Macaca fascicularis: one gene and its partners. The protein of the gene in region 3 purifies or fractionates together with the protein of the main gene of each other region. This does not show direct contact. Links are inferred from orthologs where the notes say so. Each region holds a gene or a part of one and is shown on either strand. Other genes may lie near its edges.

The links.
Region 1: the proteins of CCT2 (region 3) and FBXW8 purify together in Homo sapiens (co-immunoprecipitation; 3 studies listed by BioGRID and IntAct, with this or other methods). This does not show direct contact. The link is inferred for Macaca fascicularis from reciprocal best matches to the Homo sapiens genes CCT2 and FBXW8.
Region 2: the proteins of CCT2 (region 3) and GNB1 purify together in Homo sapiens (co-immunoprecipitation; 3 studies listed by BioGRID and IntAct, with this or other methods). This does not show direct contact. The link is inferred for Macaca fascicularis from reciprocal best matches to the Homo sapiens genes CCT2 and GNB1.
Region 4: the proteins of CCT2 (region 3) and RFWD3 purify together in Homo sapiens (co-immunoprecipitation; 3 studies listed by BioGRID and IntAct, with this or other methods). This does not show direct contact. The link is inferred for Macaca fascicularis from reciprocal best matches to the Homo sapiens genes CCT2 and RFWD3.
Region 5: the proteins of CCT2 (region 3) and WDR76 purify together in Homo sapiens (affinity purification with mass spectrometry; 4 studies listed by BioGRID and IntAct, with this or other methods). This does not show direct contact. The link is inferred for Macaca fascicularis from reciprocal best matches to the Homo sapiens genes CCT2 and WDR76.
Region 6: the proteins of CCT2 (region 3) and IGBP1 purify together in Homo sapiens (affinity purification with mass spectrometry; 4 studies listed by BioGRID and IntAct, with this or other methods). This does not show direct contact. The link is inferred for Macaca fascicularis from reciprocal best matches to the Homo sapiens genes CCT2 and IGBP1.
Region 7: the proteins of CCT2 (region 3) and ACTR1B purify together in Homo sapiens (affinity purification with mass spectrometry; 3 studies listed by BioGRID and IntAct, counting the BioPlex papers as one, with this or other methods). This does not show direct contact. The link is inferred for Macaca fascicularis from reciprocal best matches to the Homo sapiens genes CCT2 and ACTR1B.

The regions. Positions count from the first base shown.
Region 1 is NC_088385.1:123,950,266-123,954,005, reverse strand, and holds part of FBXW8 (F-box/WD repeat-containing protein 8), read right to left. Parts: intron 794-3,740; coding exon 587-793; intron 1-586. UniProt on the Homo sapiens protein: Substrate-recognition component of the Cul7-RING(FBXW8) ubiquitin ligase complex, which mediates the ubiquitination and subsequent proteasomal degradation of target proteins.
Region 2 is NC_088375.1:232,963,741-232,968,011, reverse strand, and holds the start of GNB1 (guanine nucleotide-binding protein G(I)/G(S)/G(T) subunit beta-1), read right to left. Parts: upstream 2,949-4,271; 5' UTR 2,769-2,948; intron 1,973-2,768; exon of another isoform or gene 1,864-1,972; intron 1-1,863. UniProt on the Homo sapiens protein: Guanine nucleotide-binding proteins (G proteins) are involved as a modulator or transducer in various transmembrane signaling systems.
Region 3 is NC_088385.1:76,371,195-76,374,615, forward strand, and holds part of CCT2 (T-complex protein 1 subunit beta), read left to right. Parts: intron 1-1,263; coding exon 1,264-1,383; intron 1,384-1,746; coding exon 1,747-1,875; intron 1,876-2,073; coding exon 2,074-2,177; intron 2,178-2,421; coding exon 2,422-2,521; intron 2,522-3,421. UniProt on the Homo sapiens protein: Component of the chaperonin-containing T-complex (TRiC), a molecular chaperone complex that assists the folding of actin, tubulin and other proteins upon ATP hydrolysis.
Region 4 is NC_088394.1:70,438,387-70,442,126, forward strand, and holds part of RFWD3 (E3 ubiquitin-protein ligase RFWD3), read right to left. Parts: intron 3,666-3,740; coding exon 3,515-3,665; intron 2,037-3,514; coding exon 1,860-2,036; intron 1-1,859. UniProt on the Homo sapiens protein: E3 ubiquitin-protein ligase required for the repair of DNA interstrand cross-links (ICL) in response to DNA damage. Plays a key role in RPA-mediated DNA damage signaling and repair.
Region 5 is NC_088381.1:20,412,691-20,416,961, reverse strand, and holds the start of WDR76 (WD repeat-containing protein 76), read right to left. Parts: upstream 2,875-4,271; 5' UTR 2,822-2,874; coding exon 2,762-2,821; intron 1,868-2,761; coding exon 1,469-1,867; intron 1-1,468. UniProt on the Homo sapiens protein: Specifically binds 5-hydroxymethylcytosine (5hmC), suggesting that it acts as a specific reader of 5hmC.
Region 6 is NC_088395.1:76,904,971-76,908,710, reverse strand, and holds part of IGBP1 (immunoglobulin-binding protein 1), read right to left. Parts: intron 2,387-3,740; coding exon 2,307-2,386; intron 608-2,306; coding exon 495-607; intron 1-494. UniProt on the Homo sapiens protein: Associated to surface IgM-receptor; may be involved in signal transduction.
Region 7 is NC_088387.1:2,056,286-2,060,500, forward strand, and holds the start of ACTR1B (beta-centractin), read right to left. Parts: upstream 2,982-4,215; 5' UTR 2,853-2,981; coding exon 2,805-2,852; exon of another isoform or gene 1,983-2,804; intron 598-1,982; coding exon 533-597; intron 1-532. UniProt on the Homo sapiens protein: Component of a multi-subunit complex involved in microtubule based vesicle motility. It is associated with the centrosome.

The DNA of each region.
Region 1 (3,740 bases), about 48 Mb from region 3:
CTTGGCAATGTCCATCATTATCGCAAGTACACATCCTAGAGATACACTATATATACAAGGACTTCTGCAAGCTGCAATATACATTGTAGCGTTGCTTATAGCAGCCAACACAGTGAAAGCAAGCTAAATGCCCACCAGTGAGGGGCCTGGCTAAACAGGCTATGAGCTAGAAGCATATGCTGGAATCCTAGGGAGGGAGAGTTGGTAAGAGCTGACATGGAATGCTCTCCCCAAGGCACATTATGGAGTAAAAATGCTGGGTACAGAACACTATGTATACTGTGATCGCATCTCTACAACAATATGTTTTCAGTATACAAATGTACTTATATACGCATTACATTTTTCTAGGTGGATACCTCAAAACTGTTAATAGTTTATTCTATGCAGCGAAGTTGGGGGAAGGGAGGAGAAAGAAAACGATTAATTTTCATTTTCAATCCTTTTGAAGTTCTTTGAATTTTTTGACCATGCTTATATACTGCCCTATCTGGAAAAATATTGAAGAGCTTTAATTTTTCAAGTCCCTGCTAAAAAATAAATCTATGTTCTTTTTTGTTAATTATACATCTTGCTAGTTGTGTACCTTGCTTCCTTCGTACACCCATCCCAGGCCCTGTACACCAAAAGCAACTTGGTTGGCAGAGACGTCTAGACATGTGACAGGCGGGCCGTGGGCATAAAGGAGGGTTCTGGCAGAGTCTTCGGCTTTGAGCAGGTACATCAGATCTCCAGCAGCGGCTACTGCCACAGGGTACCTTCCAGTTTCTGGAACTATTTCAAGGTACTGAACCTGTTAAAAGGTAAGAGTTGTTTAGTCCCACAAATTCATCCTGACTTGGTCAAAAATATGCAATTCCACCTACACATCAATGCGAAGGCCAGCAACCCAACAGAAAAAAGATGGGCAAATGAAACACCCACAGGAAATGAAACACAAACAGCTCTTACACAACAGAAAAGATGTTCAGTGTAAGAGAAACATAAGACATGCCTAAAAAGAGAAATACAAAATGAAAATTCATTGAAATATGATGCTTCATCTTTCATATCGGTAAAGATCAAGAAATCTGATAACACCCTAGGCTGGAAGTGAAGGAGGGAAAAACCATGTTCCATGTTTCTGGATTCCACTTATTGCTGGTGGGGACATAAATCTTGTCCAGCTTCTATCAAGGGAACTTTGGCAACTCTTATCAAAATACCAAATGAACATACACTCTGACCTAGGACATCCACTTCTAGAAGTTACTTACAAATAAACTCACAAATATAAAAAATAATTATATACAAGGTTATTCATGAACTGTAGTACAATTGTGTCTTAGCTAAAAACTAGAAAAACGGAAACACCCATTACTAAGGGACTAATTAAGTAACTTAGTGTATCTATACACTGGAATACCATGCAGTCATAGAGGGAAGCATGAAAACGTTCTTTATAAAACGAAACAAATGGGATGATTCTCCAAGATATACTTAGCGGGTAAAGCAAGGATGCAAGATGAGTAAGGTAACCTCACCTGCTGAATGTGTACAAGGTGGGGGCGGAGAAAGTACACCACACGCTTGACTCGCACATCCATAAATCTACTAACAATGGCTGCCTTCAAGGAGGGAAGTGGATTATGAGATGCAGAGATTTCCCACCATCAGCCTTATTGTGTCTTTTAAATTCTGAACCATGGGGATGTAATAGCAATTCAAAAAATAAAAGGTTTTTTGTTTGTTTGTTTTGTGTGTGGTTTTTTTTTGTTTGTTTTTACAAGAAACTGAATAAATAACATTCACTCAGTTCCAAATTCGCAAAAAAGAATATTTTAACATTCGTGCCAAAATGTGTGGCCAAAAGGTTCAAAATATCCAAGTGATCTGCTGTCTCCTGGTTTCAATGTCATCAGGGTCCATCTGGCCACCAGAGGGTAAGGAAGGGATCTACAAACACATTTTTCTACCCACCCTGCTCCCCAGTCCTGAATGCGTCACCACCGGCACATTGTCTAATGTGCACGAGTCTGAGACGCACTTTTCAAGAATAATTTGATTCTGTCCATCCACAGGCGGCCCATTTCTCCACGGTGCTGTTCCCAACAGGCTTTCGCCTCTTCGAGTAAATCACGAGAGGACACATGGAAGGTGAGCCACGCTGTGTAATAATGAAAATCCACAGTGTGAAAGGACAGCGCTGCCCTGACCATACGCCAAAGAGTTCAAAGCCGGCCTCCGGAACACCGTCCAGAGGAGCTGGAGGGAGCGTCAACATCCGGGGGACTCTCCTAATCCTTGGGCCCAGCTTCACAAGCAGCAGGTCCATCACAAAGGACAGCCGCTCTAGGCTAATATCGCAGACCTGGGAACACTGCCACTGCCATTCAGGGGCGTATATGGACAAGACAAAACTGGCTTGGCTCTTCGGGCCAGGGGTGCCTTTTCCAAGGATACTCAGAGCATTTTGTGGGAACCTTTCACCCAAAGTGAAAAATAATTCCTAAACCATGCATAAAACCCGCCTCAGACAATGGCTGCTTGGTTCCTCTCACTCCTCCAAATCATTTGTTATTTTCCTACAACGGACATCCTCTGTCTAGCCCTTTAACTTTATCTCCGTGTTGGCTTTCTGACAGACCAAGAGGCTGAGACTGACAGTGGTGGTGCCATTTGCTGGGGGCTGTAAACTACTTCAAAAAGCTTCCAGTCTGTGCCAGGATGCCACCTTATTGCCAAGGCAGGATTTGCACTTTACAGAGAAACTGGCATCTTAAGTATCTGGGTCCATTTAGTGATTGCTGGTCTACAGTATTCTTTAATCACAGACTAAATAGTACTTTGGAAGTTTTGAGAACAGAAATATACTTTCACATTTTTCTAATAAAACCCAGATGAGTTGACATCATCAGGCCATCTTGGGGGAGCACTATTTCCAAAGTGCAGATGCTCATGGAGGTGAAGCAGTGATGCCATGGCTTTCTAAGTTATTCTAGTCTAAGATTTCCACCAGAGAGGAAGAGGGAGGAACAGGATTGGTTCCAGGTCAGGCCCTCAATTCATCACTCAGTGTTGGCTTTTCTGCTCACTCTCCTACCAGTGCCAAAATCAAGTTTGTTTAAATTAAATCCAAACTCAGCATAGACAGATTTGAGAACTTCCTTCTTAGCCCCAAATCATCTCCCACTCTACAAATATAGAGGTTCCTGTATAAATGAACTCAGAAATAAGCTCGACATAAAGAATTCTTAAGGCTGGCTGAACTGCACAGGTGACATCCTGGAACATGGCTACCCCATTAACACCGACTTAAATCTATCTTCACTCAGGAGTTACTTTCAATTTCAGGTGAGACAGTCTTGGGATGAAGGAAGTGTAGGAATGGAAACCTTCCTTCCCATATGGACTGGGATAACACCACTGAACTCATTCTCGCTTATATATTAGGTCAGAAACTGATCATCAATTCCCAAGGGTAAGATTCCACCGTGTTAGTCTGAAAAAGGCCAAGGAACCACAGTGATGAGCAGCTCTGACCCTGAAGTCAGCCCTAAGGTTTGAATCACAACTTCTTAGCTCTGAGAACTGGGGCAAGCCAGTTCACTGCTCTAAGCAGCAAAGTGACTTCTTGGTAAATGGGGAAAACACTACTACCTATTTTGTAAGGCTGTAGTTAGATTTATGGATGTAAGGCCCACAGGAAGCTCTGAGTGAATGGGAGTTACCAATGCCATTAGTACATGCTTATATTAGAC
Region 2 (4,271 bases), on a different chromosome or scaffold from region 3:
ACAGGTGAGCAGCTTTTATTCTTCTCATTATTCTTCAAATACAGTTTGCTTACTAACCCCCCTACACACCAACACACAAAGTTAACAGAGGCTAATCTGGGGTCTTAGAATCAAGAAAGATTAAAAAAAAAATTTTTTTATACTCTTCAGTTTAAATAAAATAAGTTAAAGTAACATCTTTAAAAAAATGCCTGTGAGGGTCTCACACTGTTGCCCAGGCTGGAGTGAGTGGCACAATCATAGCTCACTGAAGTTCAAGCCATCCTTCTACCTTAGCCTCCAGAGTAGCCAGGACTAGAAGCAGACACCACCCATTACACCCAGCTATTTTTGAAATTTTTGGTAGAGACAAGGCCTTGCTATGTTGCCTGGGCTGGTCTCAAACTCTTGGCTTCAAGGCATCCTCCTGCCTAGGCCACCCAAAGTGCTAGACTCGAATCTAATGCTTGAGCTACCACACCCAGCCTAAAGTTAACTTTTTAAAGTTACTTGATGCAGCCAGGTGCAATGGCTCATACCTGTAATCCCAGCACTTTGAAAGGCTCAGGCAGGTGGATCACCTGAGGTTAGGAGTTCGAGACCAGCCTGGCCAACGTGGCAAAACCCCATTTCTACTAAAAAATACAAAAATTAGCCAGGTGTGGTGACGTGTGCCTGTAATCCCAGCTACTCGGGAGGCTGAGGTGGGAGAATGACTTGAACCCGGGAGGCGGAGGCTGCAGTGAGTGGAGATCATGCTACTGCACTCCAGCCTGGGTGACAGAGCGAGACTTCATCTCAAACAAAAAGTTACTTGATGCAATTAGCTGGGTATGGTGGAACGTGCCTGTAGTCCTACCTAGTTGGGAGGCTGAGGTGGGAAGATCGCTTGAGCCCAGGAGTTCAAGGCTGCAGTGAGCTATGATAGCACCACTGCACTCCAATCTGGGCAACACAGCAAGATCTTGTCTCTAAATAGTTACTGGAAGAACTGTAACATATCGCTAAGAACAATAATGGAGAGAGTAATAATTTGGGAAAACGCTTACTATATACTAAGTGAAAAACAATATAAATTTGCATATAGTTATTTTATTTGAGACTGAGTCTAGCTCTGTGGCCCAGGCTGGAGTGAAATGGCGCGATCTCAGCTCACTGCAACCTCCGCCTCCTGGGTTCAAGCGATTCTCCTACCTCAGCTTCCCAAGTAGCTGGGATTACAGGCATGCACCACCACACCTGCCTAATTTTTGTATTTTTAGTAGAGACAGGTTTTCGCCATGTTGGCCAGGCTGGTCTTGAACTCCTGACCTCAAGTGATCTGCCTGCCTCGGCCTCCCAAAGTGCTGGGATTACAGGCATGAGCCACCGCACCCAGTCGCAGGTAGTAATTTTAGCTGCTTTATTAGAATTAAAATAGGTCTGGGCGCGGTGGCTCATGCCTATAGTCCCAGCACTTTGGGAGGCTGAGGCTGGCAGATAGCTTGAGCCCAGGAGTTCAAGACCAGGGTAGGCAACAACATGGCGAAAACCTGGCCTCTACTAAAAATGCAAAAAATTAGCTGGCGTAGTGGCACACGCCTATAGTCCCAGCTACTTGGGAGGCTAAAGTGGGAGAACCCACTCGAGTCCGGGAAACTGAGGCTACAAGCGAGCCGTGACTGCGCCACTATGCTCCAGTCTGGGCAAATGGAGTGAGACCTTGCCTAAAAAAAAAAAAAACAAGAAAAGAAAAATATACTTATTTTAAAGAAAGACAGTTAAAAAGACTAACAGCATTTTTATTATAATTATTAGTCACGTTTTTCTACTAAACTTCCTAATGTTGACGCAGCTTCCTTTGAAAATTAAAAAATAAATGTAAATTTTAAAAGTCGTACTTACATTTTATTGCTTTTGCTTTTCTCTTCACTATCCTTAGTCCCCCAAACCTTCTAGAACACCCACCATCAGGTTTACCTGGCTTGGGCTCCTCTCCTCCAGTGCCAATGTCACGGCTAAGCTCTGGCTGTGCTGACTCCAAGAACTTGCCCGTCTAATCCACTAAGACAGGGTCTGCTGAGGTCTCATGTCTATCCTTCCCGATGACCCATATCTGCCATTGGCTTTTATTTAGAATTTCAGTTTTGGAAATCCTTTTCAGAGAGATTTAAATAACTTAAAAGCAAGTAGGTGAAGGAATCTGCCCCTACTTTAGAACAACATCTTTGTGAGTCAAGTGTTAGTTAGCATGATTTTTAAAGTCAGAATATTTCACATTTGCATTGCAATGTGCTCCGTGTAATGCCTCTACTTTCATGGCAATGCAGCAGCCCAGGCCTCTCATCCAGGCCCCTGAGAGTCTAGGAGCGGCACTTCAGCGGTGCCCGCAGGACCCCAAATTACACAGTCAGCAATAACGACATTCAGGCTGCAAGTATGCCAATGACAAAATAGGGTACAGATATTGAAAAATAATTTCAATTTCTGGTTCTGCGACATACAAAGAATAATGCTTTAAATTGTTTTTTACTCTGATCTGCTTAATTCAAAATAGGAATGGTGTTACCTACATGACAGGGCTAAAATGAAGATTAAATCAGACAACCAATCTGAAAGTGCTCTGTCAGCCTTACAGTGATTAAACTTCCGAAGTCCAAACTGGCCCCAGTGAGGCCCCAGTGTCTTACACAGGGGCAGGAAATTTGCTAATTTGACCAGCCACACAAGGATCACAGCTCACCTCCAAGATGAAGCAGTATTTTGAGAGAGAGGAGTCTGCATGAGGAATTTAAACCAATTTCACTCACTTTTCCATTTTTCTTTCATTCCCAAGTCCAGGTCAATCTCCAAAATTAAGACTGTGGCAATTCAAAGGGCAACGGAAAGTCCTCAGGCCCTGCTCCCTTTATGCACCGCTCCGAACAATACTGTGAAGAATAAGGGGAGCAGGGCACCACCACAACTGATAAAAGGACACGACCACTAACACAGCTGCAGAGCAGCGCATGTGCAGACCCTCCCTTCAACACGACAGGCACCATGGCGCCTCGGCACAGTGCTGAGCAGCATGAACCAGGCTGGCTGCTAGTCTGAGGGAGACAGATGACTAACAGGTAACCACGTGGAGCATACACAGGCACCAAACGGGTGAAGTGTGCCAGGGAGGGCAGGGAGGATGCTGCTTTGCATGGTTGTTAGACATGACCTTGCTAATAAGGGCCAAGAATTGAGCGGAAGGCAGATGGGTAAAAATAACACAACTGTTCTTGTTTGAGGTGCTATTTTTTGCAATGGTAACAATTTTTAAAATCATACCTTCAGGATTTTGCCTGTGCCTATAAAGTAATCTTACCAAAAAAGTGAATGTGACCAAAGCTCCAGAACCTGCAGATGGGAGCGTGTTCAATGACCCCACACGGAGGCAACAGAACCTGAAGACAGGGGAGCGTGTTCAATGACCCCACACGGAGGCAACGGAACCTGAAGACAGGGGAGCGTGTTCAATGACCCCACACGGAGGCAACGGTGCTACACAACGGCCTGGGAAACACTCCAGCACAGACAACCAGGCAGGTTGGTTAGTCTGTCTTTAACAAATAAACTTCAAGGGAAAAAGGAGACAAAGCAAGCAATGGAAGGAGGATTTCTGGACTAAGTTAAGAGACTCCCTAGGATCATCTCCTTCATGCCCCAGTCACAAGTGAGCTCACTCACCCACCAGACACTGGCAACCGGGGGAAGAGCAGGAACTACGGTGTGCGGTCACAAAGTCCTCAGAAGGCGATTCTCTGGGGAGGGGATCTAATAGCCAGGGGTGAGCCAGTGAGGCACAGCTATTAAGAGCTTACCTCCGACCCCTGGAACTCTGAAATCCCAGGAGGTGGTTACTGACACTCCCGAAGACTTATTATTATTATTATTATTATTTTTTTTTTTTTAGACGGAGTCTCGCTCTGTCGCCCAGGCTGGAGTGCAGTGGCGCGATCTCGGCTCACTGCAAGCTCCGCCTCCCGGGTTCACGCCATTCTCCTGCCTCAGCCTCCCGAGTAGCTGGGACTACAGGCGCCCACAACCGCGCCCGGCTAATTTTTTGTATTTTTAGTAGAGACGGGGTTTCACCGTGGTCTCGATCTCCTGACCTTGTGATCCGCCCGCCTCGGCCTCCCAAAGTGCTGGGATTACAGGCGTGAGCCACCGCGCCCGGCCGACTTATTATTTCTCATGCATCACAAAAAACATTTGGTCTCCCAATTTTGCTCTCCCTTTTCTTTTTTTTTTTTTTTTTTTTTTGAGATGGAGTCTGGCTCTGT
Region 3 (3,421 bases):
GTAGTTGTCAAAGGTGTTTGATAACATTGGTTCTTGCAGGTGTCATTAAATGTCTTGAGCTGGGCATGGTGGCATGTGCCAGTAGTTTCATCCATTCAAGAGACTGAGGCAGAAAGATTGCTTATGCCCAGGAGGTTGGGGCTGTAGTGTGCTATGATGGTGCCTGGTGAACAGTCATTGCACTCCAGTCTAGGCAACATAGCAAGACACTGTCTTTTTAAAAAGAAAGAAACAAAGCCTTACATGTAGAAGGATGAAGTGAAAAGTTTCATAAGCCAAGTTAGTGTTATTTTTGGATATGACATCTGAAATATCTGTTGTGTCTCACATCTAGAACACAAAGCAGTCTCAGAATTTTCTCAGCCAGAAGTAAAAAGAACTTTATACAAATTATGAGTATAAATTAGTAGTTTAGAAGACCAGAGTCTTTATGAATTTATTGTAAAATAAATAATAGGGCATTGACAGATTTATCAGTAAGGAATAGGAAGAGAAGGGTTGATTGATAATATATGCAGTTCACATTATGAAAAGAGTAGTCAGCTAGAGAAAAGAATTTTGAAATGGAAACTTGACTTGCTTAGTTAGGAAATAGGGAATGAAGTGACTGACCTGTTCAGTTTACAGCATGGAAGATGGAGGGAAAATAGGAATAGAAATGAGACATAAGGACTAAAATTAATTTGTTCTTATTAAATTTGGTCTGGGAAATTCGTAGTATGCATTTCTTTTTTTTAGGCCTTAGGACATTTCATTTGTGATAGAGATACCAGGTGATTATTAAGCGGTTCATGAAGTGTATAGTGGTTGACATACAGGACAAATATTTTCATGTCTTGTGCTGGGAATTACAGATTGGATTCAGAAGAGAATCTGAATTTCAGTTCAAAAGTAACTGCTTTAAGACTCACTTTAACCTTTGGGAGGTAGTATTGTATAGTGTGTGCTTATAGATCTGAAGCCAGACTGCTTGGGTTTGAACCCCAGCTTTTTATGTTCATCCTAGTTGGGTAACTTTGGATAGGAAAGTAAACCTCTTGGCCTCATTTTTATCATGTGTAAAATGGATAATAATGGAGCCTATCCAAGAGGATTGTTTTAAAGATTAGTCAATATGAAGTATTTAAAGAGTGCCTGGTATATAATAAGCAATCAATCTTTAAAATGTTAAACACATCACCTATCATTATCCATTACTGCTTATTAGAAAACAGGAATTTTAAGCCTGCCGTGCATTTAGCTAATAAATGTTTATGCTTATAGGTGGTGAAATTGCCTCTACCTTTGATCACCCAGAACTGGTGAAGCTTGGAAGTTGCAAACTTATCGAGGAAGTCATGATTGGAGAAGACAAACTCATTCACTTTTCTGGGGTTGCCCTTGGTGAGTGATTATGTAGATCCTGGTTAAGGTGTCTAAATTCTTGCTAGGCTCTGTTGAAGTAAAGGCTATTGTAATTACTAGAATAGTGTATCTTACAAGTCTTAACTCTTCAGAAGCATGATACATATTTTGTTTCAGTCTCTTGAGGTCAATCTTGTATTACTGTGTCTTTGTGAAAAGTGCATGTTCAACATAGTTTTTTTCCTTGATAACTTAGAACCATTATGAACCTTGATTGTTGGAGAATGTATAATACAGGAAGACAGATCAGCTTTCAGAACCCAGTAATATAACCAACACCTGTATAAATAATAGAAGGCAAACTTTTTGTCCCTAAGTGGTCACTGTGACTTTTAATTTTAGGTGAGGCTTGTACCATTGTTTTGCGTGGTGCCACTCAACAAATTTTAGATGAAGCAGAAAGATCTTTGCATGACGCTCTTTGTGTTCTTGCGCAAACTGTAAAGGACTCTAGAACAGTTTATGGAGGAGGTAAGCATTTAGAAAATGTTGAATATTTTTATTTCTTGAAGTACAATATAAGTCATAAGTGGTTTTAATGGTTCTTATAGAAACTTTATATTGCCTTTGCACTAAATTTTAAAATGCTTGGCATATCTTAAAGTCAGTAATTCAGTATCTTGGAGACAACTAAGTTTTACAATATTTTGTTGGAAATTTAATCTATAGGCTGTTCTGAGATGTTGATGGCTCATGCTGTGACACAGCTTGCCAATAGAACACCAGGCAAAGAAGCTGTTGCAATGGAGTCTTACGCTAAAGCACTGAGAATGGTAAGTTAATCAGAATGAGAGATCTGAACTTAAGTTTTGTGGTTATTGATAGTTTTAAAATGAGTAGAAAATAAACTGGTTAATACTGCTTTTAAATTTAATTCTGGAGTTTCTCTTCTTCGTGAGCAGTAATTGAAGCAGATATTACATTGTTTCTAAATGCATAATTTTAAAAAGCTATCCTAGTTAGGAGTAAATCAGTGGTTCTTAGAGTGAGTAGTTACTTGTTTTCTTCATTTCATAGTTGCCAACCATCATAGCTGACAATGCAGGCTATGACAGTGCAGACCTGGTGGCCCAGCTCAGGGCTGCTCACAGTGAAGGCAATACCACTGCTGGACTGGGTAAGCAATCAAGGGGAACTTTGTGGCCGTTGTTAAAAGTAACTCTTTTCACCGGCCCTTTTTTTCTTTTGGAGCATAAAGAGTTAACGATAACCAACCATATAAAAGACTCTTCTGCTTTGTCCTCGTAACCATTATATGTGCTGGGAAAATGTGTGTGACTTTATATGCTCAGCATTTCCCAAACTTTGTTATTCCATAAGACATATAAAACTGATTAGAAGATTTGTAACTATTTGGTATATAATGACTATAGGATTTAAATATAAACAATACTTACACTCTGGAAAATAACATAAACTATTATGTTGCTTATACAATCAGTATTAACTCCTAATTTCATAGTAAACTTACTGCGAGATAATCTTGAGTACAGATCACAGATCTCCAGTCCATAGGTAAGAGTGGCCAATGAGGCAGATTTAATTCGTATTGAAAAACTTTCTGACAAGCTGTGCTGGACATTATAGAGTAGTCTTAAGAAGATAGATAATCCTGTCATTGAACAAGAGGGAGCACCGGTTAATCTGTGAGAAAGTGAAGCAGGATTCTCACAAGAAGAGAAGTTGTGTAGATGACTTCTGAATTTTCTTCCATTTGTTTTTCTTTTTTTTTTTTTTTTGAGACAGAGTCTCACTCTGTCTCCCAGGCCGGAGTGCAGTGGCCGGATCTCGGCTCACTGCAGGCTCCGCCTCCCAGGTTTACACCATTCTCCTGCCTCAGCCTCCCAAGTAGCTGGGACTACAGGTGCCCGCCACCTCGCCCGGCTAGTTTTTTTGTATTTTTTAGTAGAGACGGGGTTTCACCGTGTTAGCCAGGATGGTCTCAATCTCCTGACCCCGTGATCCGCCCGTCTCGGCCTCACAAAGTGCTGGGATTACAGGCTTGAGCCACCGTGCC
Region 4 (3,740 bases), on a different chromosome or scaffold from region 3:
GCAGGAGAATGGCGTGAACCCAGGAGGCGGAGCTTGCAGTGAGCCGAGATCGCGCCACTGCACTCCAGCCTGGGCGACAGAGCGAGACTCCGTCTCAAAAAAAAAAAAAAAAAAAAAAAAAACAAAATAAAGATCCCAAGTTGTAGATGACAGACCCCACAATTAAAATACAGCTAAAAGCAGCTACATTTTAATTCAGAAACAGGACTGTTTTAGATTTTCTATATTTCCTTCTGCAAGCATATGACCAGGACTATGCGCCAAGAATTCTCTCAGAAATATCCTCCTTCAGACTGTGTTCCTATGAACTCATTTCTGCTGTGAACTCGTTCATGCCAAAGTTGCCAAAGTCTACTTGCCTGTTTTATTTCATTTTCCCTGTCACAATAAAGGTAATCAAAGTAAACACAAATAAAAATGAACAAGACAGACAAGTATTTTTTTCTTGCTATTTTAAAACTTGCCGTGTTTGGCTGGGCATGGTGGATCACACCTGTAATCCCAGCACTTTGGGAAGTCGAGGTGGGAGAATCACTTGAGGTTTGAGACTAGCCTGGCCAACATGGTGAAACCCCATCTCTACTAAAAATATAAAAGTTAGTCAGGTGTGGTGGCGCATGTTGGTAGTCCCAGCTACTCGGGAGGTGGAGGATGCAGTGAGCCAAGACTGTGCCACTGCACTCTAGCCTGGGTGAGAGTGAGACACCGTCTTAAAAAAATAAAAAACCACCACCACCACCACCAAAAACAAACAAACAAAAAAACCTTGCCGTATTTTACTGTCTACTCTATTTGGCCCTAGGTTTCAGTAAATAATTATTACTTTAGTGATATCTTTATGTTTGGCTCTCCTTGCTCTTAACATATCCAATTGGAAACATAAATTATCTGTTAAGATACTTTTCATTTTGGTCAGGACACAGACCCTACTTCCCTTCTGAGAACTTCATACATACAGGGCAGCTCAACACATTCTAAAACAGAGTGGTGCTGGTGGCCATCCATCCTCAGAACTTGGGCTGACTTTATAAACTTCTCAATCTCACAACTGGATTAAATGATAAATAATAATAATACAGTATCTTCAAACAAGTTGGTTTAGCTTTGGATTAGGGAAGTTTTAAATCACTTTTGATTATGCTATCCTTAACTGATCTCTTCCTATGTGCTAGACACGTGGCTATTTTTTTTTTTGAGACGGCATCTCACTCTGTCATCCAGGTTGGAGTGCAATGGTGCGATCTCGGCTCACTGCAACCTCCACCTCCTAGATTGAAGAGATTCTTCTGCCTCAGTCTCCTGAGTAGCTGGGATTACAGGCATGCGCCACCATGCATGCCTAATTTTTTTTTGAATTTTTAGTACAGACAGGGTTTCACCATGTTGGTCAGGCTGGTCTCGAATTCCTGACCTCGTGATCTGTCCGTCTTGTCTTCCCAAAGTGCTGGGATTACAGGCGTGAGCCACCGTGCCCGGTGACATGTGGCTATTAAAGCAAGTCTATATGGACCAGATTTTACAGATTAAGCTCACAATGGGCCAAGAAACACAACTAAGGTCACACAACTTCTAAGTAGTGGAGCTAGGTTCTGAACATAGATCTGACTCTGTTTTGCCATGTTAGATAATACTGACTATGAACCTGGCAATACTTGTACCAAAACTCTGTCATATGAAATATCATGAATACAAACTCTTGTTAACAAGAATGTTATTAATTCTCAAGTGAGATCAAGTGGATCTTCAAAAACTGTAAGGATTTCTGACCAACTGTGTAACACCCTCTGAAGAGACGATTAACACAATAATAAGCCAAGAGACAGTTGCTACCACCAGGAAAAGAGTGAGTGGCTCCCTACCTGGCTTTCTGAGCTACTAACTCCTGCACATGACTGCTCGTGTTCCGCACGTCATATACCAGAATTGAACCATTGGCCAGTCCAGCATAGATGTAGTTAGTCTCATCAAGACACCAGCAACAGCTCCAGACAGGACGTCCAGCATTGTAAGTCTGGACCACGGTATTTGTCTCCAGGCTGTGGAGTTACAAAAGACTTTTACAACTGCATTAAGAAAATCAAATACATGACAAAGATGTAAAGATTATCATTTAAATGATCATTAACCCTTACCGAGAACACACTCATATAACCAAACTATCTGGATTTCCTATTTTTTCTAGGATCTGCCCAGGTAACTCCTTTAAATTCCATAACATTTGTTTTGGGGGTCACAGGTTTTCCTCTTGAGTTGTAAAGAAGTAAAATAATAAATTAAAGGGGCTGGGCATGGTGGCTCATGCCTGTAATCCCATACTTTGGAAGTCTGAGGCAGACAGATCACTTGAGGTCAGGAATTTGAGACCAGCCTGGCCAACATGGCGAAACCCCATGTCTACTAAAAATACAAAAGTTAGCCAGGGGTGGTGGCGTGCATCTGTAATCCCAGCTACTCGGGAGGCTGAGGCAGGAGAACCACTTGAACCCGGGAGGAGGAGGTTGTAGTGAGCCGAGATTGCGCCACTGCACTCCAGCCTGGGTGACAGAGCAAGACTCTCTCTCTCTCTCAAAAATAAATACGTAAATAAATAAATAAATAAATAATAATCCAACCAACACTTTGGTATGTAACATTTTTCTACCTTATTTTTAAAACAATACTTATAAAGGCATGGAGCACACTCACATCTGGTTCACAGTACTCACAGAGCATGTGACAGATAAAACACTGTAACTAAGTAAGGGTATAAAAGAAGTCATCATGGTACCCAAGGGCAGTGAGTGCTTGGTGAACATCTCTGTTATACAGAATTGTCCAGGTAACAGACCAGGACTAGGAGTAAACAGTACCGACCTAGTATGGTGACTCTGATGTCAGGTACCAAAGCTCCCTCCATCCTGTCATTCCACAAACTTTATTTTTAAATTTTATTTATTTATTTATGTATTTATTCATTTACTACTTTTTTTTGAGACACAGCCTTGCTCTGTCACCCAGGCTGGAGTGCAGTAGCTTGATCTTGGCTCACTGCAACCTCCACTTCTCAGGTTCAAGTGATTCTCCTGCCTCAGCCTCCCTGGTAGCTAGGATTACAGGTTTCTGACACCATGCCCAGCTAATCTTTGTATTTTTAGTAAAGACGGGTTTCACCATGTTGGCCAGGCTGGTCTCAAACCCCTGACCCTCAGATGATCCGCCTGCCTCGCCTCCCAAAGTGCTAAGATTACAGGTGTGAGCCACCACGGCTGGCCTCCACCAACTTTAGAGTTTTATTCTCATCTCCTTAAAATATGCTTAAGACATTTTTTGTAATATATATAATTTTAAAGAAATAAGAAACACAGTTTTGTAACCTGCTGTGCCCACTTCTAAAAGCAATGTATTTTAAATAGATCTCAGAAGACACAGTCTCAGACCAAAAAAAAAGAGCTAAGGTCATCATAACACTGATACTAATTCCATGCTACTCAACACCAAACAGCCCAGTCTCCACCTTCCTCCCCAAATCACTCACCTGGTCAGTTTAATAGTGTTGTCTAGGGAAGCAGAGAGTAGCAAGCCTCTGGAGTAACTGCTAAAAGCCAGTCCACGGATCTGTTTGCCATGCATCGGAATGTACTGACTGCTTCTCATGTTGGCAGTACTCAACATCTTAACACCAAAGCCTGCCAAAGGCAAAATAGTATGAAACAGATCACTGAAAGTGAACCTAGGGCAATGCAAACTACTTTTTCAAGTAG
Region 5 (4,271 bases), on a different chromosome or scaffold from region 3:
CAAACCCCTCACTAAGGTGATTTGCTTAAAGGAACAAGGTTTCTTAGAAGTGACCATGCTAGGCCGGGTGCGGTGGCTCACGCCTGTAATTCCAGCACTTTGAGAGGCCGAGGTGGGCGGATCACAAGTCCAGGAGATCGAGACCATCCTGGCGAACAAAGCGGAACCCTCTACTAAAAATACAAAAAATTAGCTGGGGGTGGTGGCAGGCGCCTGTAATCCCAGCTACTCAGGAGACTGAGGCAGGAGAATGGCGTGAACCCGGCAGGAGGAGCTTGTAGTAAGCCGAGATCGCGCCACTGCACTCCAGCCTGGGCAACAGAGCAAGACTCCGTCTCAAAAAAAAAAAAAAAAGAAGTGGCCATGCTAGGCTATCAACCCCAAGTCCAATTCATCTAATACTTATCCTATGCTGTCCCACTATGAGTCCTGGTTCTTAACTCTGGGGTAAGAAAGCATAAACCAAACTTCTATTTCATAACAATAACCCTTCAATTATAGTATCTCCCTTTCCCTACTATCATTTTCTGTTCCCTGAGTTCCAGCAACATTGTGTCATGTGCTTTATATTTTATCTTATCCTGTTAAAAGTTGTCAGTTTGAATGGAGCACAGCCCTCCTGGTAGGCAGTAGAAGCCAAAAGAATTACAGACCAGGCTGGGCGCAGTGGCTCACCACTGTAATCCCAGCACCTTGGGAGGCTGAGGCGGGTGGATCAGGAGGTCAGGAGTTAGAGACCAGCCTGACCAACATGGTGAAAACCCGTCTCTACTAAAAACACAAAACTAGCCAGGCATGGTGGGGCACCTGTAATCCCAGCTACTCAGGAGGCTGAGGGAGGAGAATCTATTGAATCCAGGAGGCCAAGGTTGCAGAGAGCCAATATAGTGTCACTGCACTCCGGCATGAGCAACAGAGCGACACTCGGTCTCCAAAAAAAAAAATTACACACCAAATTCCTTAAGTTGATTGGAATTATATAGAACTAATTAATGCATTTCTCATGTATCTTATCTACTCTGTCATTTGTCTCCTTTTGCATTTAAAGGAAATATTATTCAACACATCCATATAATCAGTTTCCCTACCCTGATATCAAGGGTCAGTCAATACCATATATCCCACAAACTGATGACTTCTGATATACTGTACATAAATATGTAAAGGTGAGCAAGGCACCATAAAGTATGAGTAAACCCAAAAATATATGAAGTTTAAAGAAAGAAAAAGGGAAGCAGAGTAAAGATTAAGTCAATCCTTTCATTGACACATCAACAGCAAAAGCAAAAATAACCCAAGGAAGTTATTTGTTAAACCTTAAAAATAATAATGTATTATTACATTTATTCTTACATTATTAGATAAAATAATTTGTTTGTACCAGAGAGAGCCTTGAAAAACTTCAATTTATCAGAACTTCACATTTAAAAAAAGAGATACTAGAACAAGCTACTAATTAAGTCCTTACCACGCCTGGTGTGATATCTTCATCACTGTCTCCATCCTGACTACTTTCCACATCAACACTGAGATTCATCGCATCTGCCGTTCTCTTGGATTGTAGCTTGTTACTTTCAGTATGAACAGCTGAGGCTGAATTTTGCAGCACGGATTCAGACTTAGATGTGGTTTTCTTCTTTGGAGGTATAATCCTTCTGCAAGTTTTCTTTATTTTAGTCTTCTTACACGCAACTTCATTGTTAGAATTCTTTTCTAATAGGGATTTGGGGCACATAAGCTGGTCTAGCTGGTAATTACTGAGTGAAAAGGGGGCTAGATAGACCTTAGCTGTTTTTATTAAAACTGTAGTCTGTACTGGTCTCAGAGACACATAAGCGATGTTTTGATTTTCTTTATATTCATTTACCTATTCAGATCAATAAAAGAAAAGAGAGTATTAGAATTCCAAGTCCTGTGCCTTTTCTTACAGGATCCCCAGCAGATCTAATAATTCCCATTTCACAATGACAATATAAATCCAAATTGATGCCAGGTGCGGTGGCTTACCCCTGTAATCCCAGCACTTTGGGAGGCTGAGGCAGGGCCTGAGGTCAGGAGTTCAAGATTAGCCTGGCCAACATGATGAAACCCGCCGCCCCCCCCCACCCCCACTCCACCCCCCGCCCCCCGCCGTCTCTACTAAAAATACAAAAATTGGGTGTGGTGGTACCTGCCTGTAATTCTAGCTACTCAGGAGGCTGAGGCAGGAGAATCGCTTAAACCCGGGAGGCGGAGGTTGCAGTGAGCCAAGATCATGCCACTGCACTCCAGCCTGGGCAACAGAGCGAGACTCAAGCTCAAAAAAATAAATAAATCCAAATTGACACCCTGTAAGAAAACTTTTTTCCCCCTCCAAAATCTAGATATGTAATTCATTAACCTTAACCTCAACAGAATTCACTTACTAGGCACATGTGCCCATCAGAGTTTCCCAGACCAATAATAATGACTAGCATTTGGACTGAAGCAAATACCCCACTGTCAGCTGCGGATTGTCTGGAATTATTTAAAGAGTGTGAAGCTGATCATAACTGTGGCAAAAGCAAACGCAGAAGGTTGAAGAAAGGGAATCCCAGATGTGACTCTCCCACTATTTCTAGGGTTATTGATGAGAACCTTTCGTCAAAGCCGAAGGCCTCAGGGCAGGGATCGCCGCCAACCCCCGGTACCAGGCGCCCTCGACCTTCCGGGCCTGTGTCCCGCATAACCCTCACAAAAACCGAAGCAGGCGCACACCTGGAAGCACCGATCCGTTTCTCACCTTCATCTGGGGTCGCTGTCTGGAGTCCGCCTTCTCAGCCGCCGCGCCCGACCTGGACATCTTTCGGCTTCTCGGTGGCCGGCTCCTTCCCGCCAAGATTGCGGCGGGAGGCCGAGAGGGGCGGGGCCGGGACGGGGCGGAGCCCACTCAGATCCTCAGCGGCCGCAGCGCCAGAGCGGGAAGTCCGGGTTACCCGCGCTTCTTAAAGAAGGCCGCTTTGGCCGGGCGCGGTGGCTCACGCCTGTAATCCCAGCACTTTGGGAGGCTGAAGCGGGCGGATTACCTGAGGTCAGAAGTTTAAGACCAGCCTGGCCAACATGATGAAACCCCGTCTTTACTAAAAGTAAAAAATCAGCCGGGCGCGGTAGCACATGCCTGTAATCCCAGTTACTCAGGAGGCTGAGGCAGAATTGCTTGAACCCAGGAGGCAGAGGTTGCAGTGAGCCGAGATCGTGCCATTGCACTCCAGCCTGGGCAACAAGAGTGAGACTCCGTCTCAAAAAAAAAAAAAAAAAAAAAAAAAATCGCTTATGTGTCTTTGAGACCAGTACAGACTACAGTTTTAATAAAAACAGCTAAGGCCTATCTTGCCCCCTTTTCACTCAGTAATTACCAGCTAGACCAGCTTATGTGCCCCAGATCCCTATTAGAAAAGAATTCTAACAATGAAGTTGCATGTAAGAAGACTAAAATAAAGAAAACTTGCAGAAGGACTCAAATTCTTTAGGGAAGTCCTGGGGCTGAACTGACATTTTTACCTCAGACTGCTGATTTTGATTCAGGTGGTACTGGGATCTCGCTCTGAAAAACATTGGCAGGCCGGGAGCGGTGACTAACACCTGTAATCCCAACACTTTGAGAGGCCGAGAGGAGTGGATCACTTGGGCCCAGGAGTTCCAAACCAGCCTGGGCAACATAGTGAGACCCCATCTCTACAAAAAATACAAAAATTAGCCTGGCGTGGTGTTATACGTCTGTAGTCCCCGCTACTCGGAAGGCAGGGGTGGGAAAATGGCTTGAACCTAGAAGGACGAGGCCAGTGAGCCGTGGTCGTGCAGCACTCCAGCCTGAGCGACAGGGCAAGACCCTGTCTCTTTTATAAATAAAAATAAAATAAGATTCTGGCTATTCTTCTCTTTAAGTTTCCTTCTACCCAAAACTGTTTCCTTAGTTTCTTAATTGGGTCCCACACTGTTCTTGCCTGAGACTTGTCCAGTTTCATTTCTTCTCCCACTCAAGGCCCAGTTGTAGAACACAGGTGAAGTAATTTGGGTTAATCACATTAACAGCAACTTCAAGGCCCTCCATGACTCAAAAATTACTGATAAAACCAAACTTTTCATGGTGTCCTGTATAATGTATACTGTTTCTGGACTTCAGAACTTTGTTCCTGCTGTCCCTTGTCTCCTCCGCAGTTATAAAGTCCTTTCTAATGTGAAATGTGCTCTGACTTTCCAATTAGCATATATACATATATATATATATATTTTTTTTTTTTTTAACACAACCC
Region 6 (3,740 bases), on a different chromosome or scaffold from region 3:
GGGCATTAAAGGTACAGTAAGCCAAAGTCCCTGCCCTCAAGGAGTTCCAAGTATCATTTCCTCCTTGTAAGTGCTGACTCTCCTTCAGCTTACACCTGTTTTGGTGACCTTCCAGTACCTTCAGGTAGTTGTTTTTAAAAATATTTTGTTCAGTTTGTAATTGTTATCCTGTATGAAGGGCTGGCCTGATACAACCTACTCTGCCATTACCAGATGTGGAACTGCTATCCATAGACTGAGTTTTCTACACAGCTTGCTCTGTTTTTATGTCATGACATTTGGAGAGATTTACAAACTATGCTACCACTGTCCCCATCCTCCCATAATCATCTGCTATCTAATAATAAACATAATACTGCCTAGAATCTTTCTATTACTCAGAATCTTTGTCCCCACTATTTCTGCTCCTAAAGGGCAACTATACTTGGTGAGAACTTAATTGCCAGGGAGTAAAAGACCAGTGGTACAACTATTTCCCTCCTACCCCGTCATACCTGGTGTTGCCTTGGCTATTCCCTGATCCGGTAATGCTCCATATTTCCGATGTTGCTCATACCAGTCACTCACCGTCATAGTTGCCAGACTTGGATAACCAGCTCCAAATACTCTGCAAAAATTACACTGCATTTAGAAAACGAAAAAAAAAACTACTACTAAAAAGTCTCTTTAACAACAAAGTCTGTGTCCATTTCAGCCTTGTTCCCTACCCAGTCAACTTCTGAGGAGTTGTGCAAACTCACGGGAGGATATGTAAAAAGAGGCATCCAGAAAGGGGCATTAAAGTCCAGAGCTTTCATGAGAAGATAAATAGCCCAGGATCATCTCCCATTAAGCAATCCCAGAGGCCAATACTCCACAAAGCAGTGAAGACACCGTGGAATGGGTATTCACAGTTGGTGACTCTGAAAGGTACAGAAAACAAGGAGACTCTCATGCCACCCTAGGGAAAAGTATCTCAAGAACTCAGAATTAAATCACAGGGAGGCAAATATGTCCTTTTGAGAATTGTAGCTGAAGGCAGGAAGAGTGCGAATAATGTTTAAAAGACAAAACAAAACAAAACAAAAAAAACCCTTTAAAGTATACAATTCCCCGTTCAATTATTTTCCTTTTTTCTGTTTTATTTGTTTGTTTACAGGTCCGCCTTTTTTTTTTTTTTTTTTTAGATGGAGTCTCACTCTGTCGACCAGGCTGGAGTGTAGTGGGGTGATCTCAGCTCATTGCAGCCTCTACCTCCTGGGTTCATGCGATTCTCCTGCCTCAGCCTCCTGAGTAGCTGGGATTACAGGTGCCCACCAACATGCCTGGCTCATTTTTCTATTTTTAGTAGAGATAGGGCTTTGCCATGTTGGCCAGGCTGGTCTTGAACTCCTGACCTCAGGTGACCCGCCTGCCTCGGCCTCCCAAAGGGCTGGGATTACAGGCGTGAGCCACCATGCCTGGCCCATGTGTGCCTATTTTTAAGCTTGAGTTTGCGAAGGAAGTGTCTGAGGAAGACAGACATGGTGAAAGTTTCGGGAGAGATAATATCCCTTTGATAAAAGAACAACTTCCGTAGGTGAGATCATGACTTTTCTTTTCTTTTTTTTTTTTTTTTTTGAGACGGAGTTTCACTCTTGTTGCCTAGGCTGGAGGGCAGTGGCGTGATCTCAGCTCACTGCAACCTCTGCCTCCCAGGTTCAATCGACTCTCCTGCCTCGGCCTCCCTAGTAGCTGGGATTACAGGCATGTGCCACCACGCCCAGCTAATTTTGTATTTTTAGTAGAGACGGGGTTTCTCCATGTTGGTCAGGCTAGTTTCGAACTCCCGACCTCAGGTGATCCACCCATCTCGGCCTCCCAAAGTGCTAGGATTACAGGTGTGAGACACTGTGCCCGGCCGAGTTCATGACTTTTCTTTTTTTTTTTTTTTTTTGAGACGGAGTCTCACTGTGTCTCCCAGGCTGGAGGGCAGTGGCGTGATCTCGGCTCACTGCAAGCTCCACCTCCCGGGTTCACGCCATTCTCCCGCCTCAGCCTCCCAAGTAGCTGAGACTACAGGCGCCCGCCACCACGCCCGGCTAGTTTTTTGTATTTTTAGTAGAGACGGGGTTTCACCATGTTAGCCAGGATAGTCTCGATCTCCTGACCTCGTGATCCACCCGCCTCGGCCTCCCAAAGTGCTGGGATTACAGGCTTGAGCCACCGCGCCCGGCCCGAGTTCATGACTTTTCAACATCACTCAGTCTGTGGGTCACTCATGAATTGCCACATTGAACCATAAAAGCAGAGGGCTGCAAAGCAAACCCCTTTCTAGTACTACCTACTTGGCTTGGGCCGTGTTCCGAGTGAGAATGAAGGGTTTCACTGGAGGCCTCTCTTGGCGAGATGAGTTAGAAGTTGATGCCTAAAAAGGAAATTAATTATGAGAGGTGAATTTGCCATTTTACTCAACCTACCATATGGGCTCTCAAGTCTTCGGGTGCTTGAAAAGCTCTGGATTCAAAATTCACTTTCTATTTATCAGTCTCTAAGATATAGCAGCAGAACACTAATGGTGGAGGTTCCTTAGCTCTCCTGAGGGGGCCTGAGTACCTTACAAAAAAGACAGAAAGTTCTCCCAGGAATCATATCACTAGAAGTAAACAAAATTACTTGGCTTTAAAATACCCTGTCCAAAGAAGAAGATTCCAAAGTCCTCTTCCATGTTCCATCTAAATCCCTTGAGGTGAACTTGAAGCCCCTTTCCTCAGCCTGGCCTTCAGTTAAAAAGTTGAATCACTACAACCTTTCTTCTAAAACCTCTTCCAATGTAATTATGCACTTAACTGTCAAGAACTTCTACGGCGCTTTAGAAGTCAATGTTCCTAAATGAAAGGGACAAGGAATAGTTGGTAGTTTCCATATACAGGTATATAGAAAAGTTTCAAGGAACCTTGGCTTTCTAGGGGCATGCTGAAACAAAGGATGGTTAAAGAAAAGGTGCTCACTTAGTTCTAGCTCGATCACTTTCAGAACCAATTCCAATACCACATGAGAGGACATGAAAACAACACGACAATTACAACAAACAAACAAATGAACAAGAAAAAACAAAAAACCCACACACAAAGAAAGGGACAGGGCAGGACCCAGAAAAGTCCAGCCTTAAAATGCTTGTAAAGCACTCATCTAGACATGCTCAAGGGGCCTTATGACCTTAGAATACTAATTGTTCATTCTTTGATCTCTTAACATGAAGAACTAGGTTGATGTTATCCTGAGGCAAGAGCTCCTGGGCTAATTAGTACAAATCAAATTAGGAAGAGGTTTCTCTGAGGACTTAAATAAATGCCTGTGACTTGCTGATAAATTCAACCCAATTCATGTTGTGTCCTGAACCAAAGAACAAGTGGCAGCAGAGCCTATTCTTCTGAAGTGGCAGCTCCAAAACAGGGTTATGATGTTCAAAGACAGCCAAAGCTGTTACGCCAGGTTTCTTTACCAGTTTACTGGACACTCTGTGCATGGAAATGTCCTTGCTGTGCCTCCTACGTGGGTTATCTAAAGGTGTGAGAGTGCATCATTGTGGCAAGGTTAAATTCTAATTCCTCCTCCACCCTAAGCATATCCCCCTGGTCTTTTGTTTCAGATTCTTCCTATTCTTTTCTCCCTCTCCTCCAGTTCTACCTTTCTTCTCCATTCCTATCCTCTTTCTCTCTTCCCCTTTATTATAGTCAGCACAATTTTTTTTTTTTTTTTTTTTTTTTTTTTTGAGATGG
Region 7 (4,215 bases), on a different chromosome or scaffold from region 3:
AACTTTCCCAATGGGCTCGCGGCGGGTGCGAGGGGCACCCCAGGCTCTCTGGGTTTGCAATTCTCTTACTCCTGCCTCCACCGGTACCACACGGGGCAAAGGATCCCCTCTTAACTGCAACAAGACATTTCCTAGAGTCTGCAAACAAGTCCAGCAGAAAACCCCTTCAGGGAGGAAAGGGTGGCTGTGCATCTAATTCCTCACTCCTCCTGATCTGAGCTTAGGGCTCCCCTTGGAGGTGTCTCCCTTTATTCTTGCTGCTGCTACCACACCCCATCCCCAGGGAAATACTGGCTGCTTTTCCTCCTTGCTGGCTCAACACCACCAAACTGAGAGACTCCAAAGACAAAGGGGAACCCTAGAACGCTTAGTCTTGTTCTTTCAGTGCTCTCTCGAGTGTCAATCTCACAAATTTGGTGTTTTCCATACAGGTCAGGGCAAAAATTGTCTTCAAAGAGTGCTGTGACAGAAGGCTAATGTTCTCACAGAAGATAAACAGAAGGACTGAGGCTGCTGCCCGAGCCACACTTACTAGTTTGGGAAACAGTATTTGGGAATCTGGTCTCCTGCAAAGCCGGCTTTAATCACCCCCGAACCCTGCAAGGAAAAACAAAGTTTAACGGCCCACACACACCACCAGATGAAGCCAGTCCCCTGCAATGGAGAGAGCTGGCTGCCCTGTCAAGGCAGGCCAAGGAGGAAGCCAGGGACCCTGCCAGGATCATTTACAAGTACATCAATGGTTCAAGACTGGGAGCAATTTTGTATCCCCCTGCCCTGGCAACATTTGGCAATGTCTGGCAGCTGGGGAGAGGGGACATGCAGTGGGGGATGCTATTAGCATCTAGTGGGCAGAGGCCAGGGATGCTGCTAAACATCCTACAATGCACAAGTGAGCCTGCACTACCAACAATGACCTAGCCCAATGCAATAATACAGAGAGAGAGAAACCATGAAGGGCACCTTCCTCTGCACACCTCATAGTCGGCTCCAGCAGGAGGATTCCATAGCACATGCTACTCCCAAAAGCTACAAGAAACCCCTTTGCATGGGTTTTTTTTTTTTTTTTTCAACAGCTTCCCTCTCCCCCAAGAACCCAGAAGGCATGGAACATGGACCACCTACAGGACCTGCTGGAGAAGACCAATAGGTGCATGGGATGACTGGCAGCTCCCCTCATGTGGCTTCCCCAGAGACTACTAGGAGAACCTGCTCCTATCGCTGCCCCCACCTGGCAGCTGGACTTAAGGATCCCCCAAAGAACCGGGCAATTAGAAACCTCCCACCCAGCGAAGGGGCCAGCTTCTCAACGCAGCTCCACCGCTCTTCATCGCAACCCTCTGAGTCTGCAGCAGAAACAAACATCTCCAAGTTACAGAGGAGAGGCTGGAATCTCCAAGGGGCCTAGTGGTAGCCCTTTGAACTTAGAAGCCTGTTGATTAGCCCATACGAGTTATTTGCACATCAAGAAAGGAGGTAATGCCGGGCGCGGTGGCTCACGCCTGTAATCTCAGCACTTTGGGAGGCCGAGGCGGGCGGATCACAAGGTCAGGAGATCGAGACCACGGTGAAACCCCGTCTCTACTAAAAATACAAAAAATTAGCCGGGCGCGGTTGTGGGCGCCTGTAGTCCCAGCTACTCGGGAGGCTGAGGCAGGAGAATGGCGTGAACCCGGGAGGCGGAGCTTGCAGTGAGCCGAGATCGCGCCACTGCACTCCAGCCTGGGCCACAGAGCGAGACTCCGTCTCAAAAAAAAAAAAAAAAAAAAAAAAAAAAGAAAGGAGGTAACCTGCTCCTTCCTGCAGCGTCCCACTGGTGTGACACCACGTCGCCAAGCTCAGTGCTAGCCTCCTCATTAAACATCCTCTGCTGTGACTCAGGGAGCCCACGTGGGTACTCCAGAACAGACAGCCATTCAGGGACCCCACGGGGTCATGTGGGAGGGAGACAGATCCCAGAAAGAGCAGAAGTGAGTCATTACCAAAAACTCCAAGGCCCGCACACCAGACGCAGACACCCAGCTAGGGGCAGACTCAAAGATCCCAGCCCTTATCTTCTCCCCGTATCAGAGCTCGGAGGCCAGAAATCTTCCTACGGTAGCTGAAAGCAAGCCGAGCCCCACTGCCGAAGGCCAAAACCACAGGACGCCTGACATCTTTCCTCTGAGGCTTCCAAATGATCACCCCAAATAGCTTGCTGATACTGGGAAGTGTGGCCATGAACTCTCCATTGCTCTGCTGGCCGTGAAATGTTTGCCCAGCACAGGGAGCATTTAAGGAAAAAGTCAAAGTAGCCAAGAGGCAAACCAGATGGTGGTGGACATGTGGGTGACAGAGTATCCTGCATTTGTTGCCTCGGGGTGCAGCCTCAAAGATGAAGCCAGCAGTGTGCAAAGGACAAATGCCACCCCACCTCCGCCAGGCAGCCAGAGCCAGGGCCGAAGGACGGGGAAAGGGACTGGGGTTGAAATCTGCCCAGGGACCGCACTCTCAGCTGAGAAGGGTCCGGGGCGCGTCCCCGCCCGGCCGCCCGGCCGTCACTCAAGCTCTCCTGAACTTCCCCGCCCGGCTCGGGGAGGGGTCGGGGAAGGGGCTCTGCAACGCGGGCGAGGGGGCTCGCCCCATGGCCGGCCTTACAGGGCCAAGTGGGCGCGCGCCCCAGGAGCGACGCCAGCGGCCCGGCGGGGGCGACGGCCAAGCAGTGAACGGAGGACGCGCCGAGGCGGGCGGGGGTCTCTCCCTGCGCCGCCGCGTGCGCCCCCGGGGGCGGGGCGCCCGCCCTCCCCCTGGCTGCCGGGCCTCACGTTGTCGATGACCACGGGCTGGTTGGCGATGATGTCGTAGGACTCCATGGCCGGGCCACGCCGGCCCTGCCCAGCAGGCGGGCTGCAGGAGGGACCGGAGGGCGGGCGGGCGGGCGGGCGGGCGGGAGGACCGGGACAGCGGCGGCTCCCGACGCGGCGCCGCGCCCCTCCCTCCCCGAGCGTGCAGCCTACGCGAGCCCCGCGGGGCTTCCTGGAGGGCGGGCCCCGCGGCCAATCACCGCTCCCACCTGGTCCGATTGACAGCAGCCGCCCGGGGCTGCCAGCGCGCAGGGGGCGGGGCCTCCGGAGGCTGGCCAGCCAATTGAGGTCATCCGGAAAAAAGTGGTCGCGGTGTTGCCAAGGTAGGCTGCGCAGCGTGGGGGATTATGTCATGGCTCCGTCTTAAAGGGGACGCGGGCGGCAGAAAGTGGAGCTGGGCTGGTGTGCGGGCGCGGCCGGAGTAAGTGGAGCTGCAAAAATTCACCGGTCCAGGAAGACGTCTTTTCCGCGTCCCGGCACCTCGGGCCACGCTCCTTCGTGAGAGCGCCCTCTCCAAGGATGCTGGCCCTGGATATTTCGCCCGAAGTATTTATGTTTTCTTTTTTTCTAGATAAGGTGTCTTGTTCTGTCGCCCAAGCTGGAAACCTTGGGCTCAAGCCATCCTCCCGCGCCAGCCAATAAGGGTGGACTACAGGCGCGCACCACTGCCCTCAACTTATTTATTTATTTATTTATTTATTTATTTATTTATTTTTACTGAAATAGGCTCCGTAGAGACTGTTAAAGATTGCCAATGCCGACTATATTGCAAGTCGTCACGGTGGGGTATTGGGAAAAGTTTTCAATTAGCAATAATCGTGCTTCGCATAAACCTCATTGGCCACCTTACGGCCACCGCGCAACGCTAGCTAATTAAAACAAAATTTTTTTTTTTTTTTTTTGAGACGAGATCTCGTTATGTTGCCTGGGCTAGTCTCGAACTCCTGAAATTAAGCAATCCTCCCGCTTAGGCCTTCCAAAGCGTTGGGATTACAGGCGTCAGCCACTGCGCACGACCCCATGATATTTCCTCGTTGAGCGCTAAAGAAAAGATCCTTTTCCTCATAAAAATCACAGTTTCGTGGTATTTTGGTCCTGGCATTTCTTGAGCACCTGCTCTGCGCCTGCGGAGCACTTCTGTCCACTTTACATAGGTTATATTAAATCCTTACAACAATATCAGGTATTTGTCTTATTACTCCCATTTTTCAGTCAAGGTCTTCACACTTTGGTAACCTGCCCAAGATTATTGGGCGGGGAATTGGCATGCAGGTAGCCCCCTGCGCGCACTGGATTCAGCTGCTTCAAGAGTGCAAGGTACTTGAGTTCTACATTTGTTTACCAAACGGATCCATAGTTATTTCCCTGTATA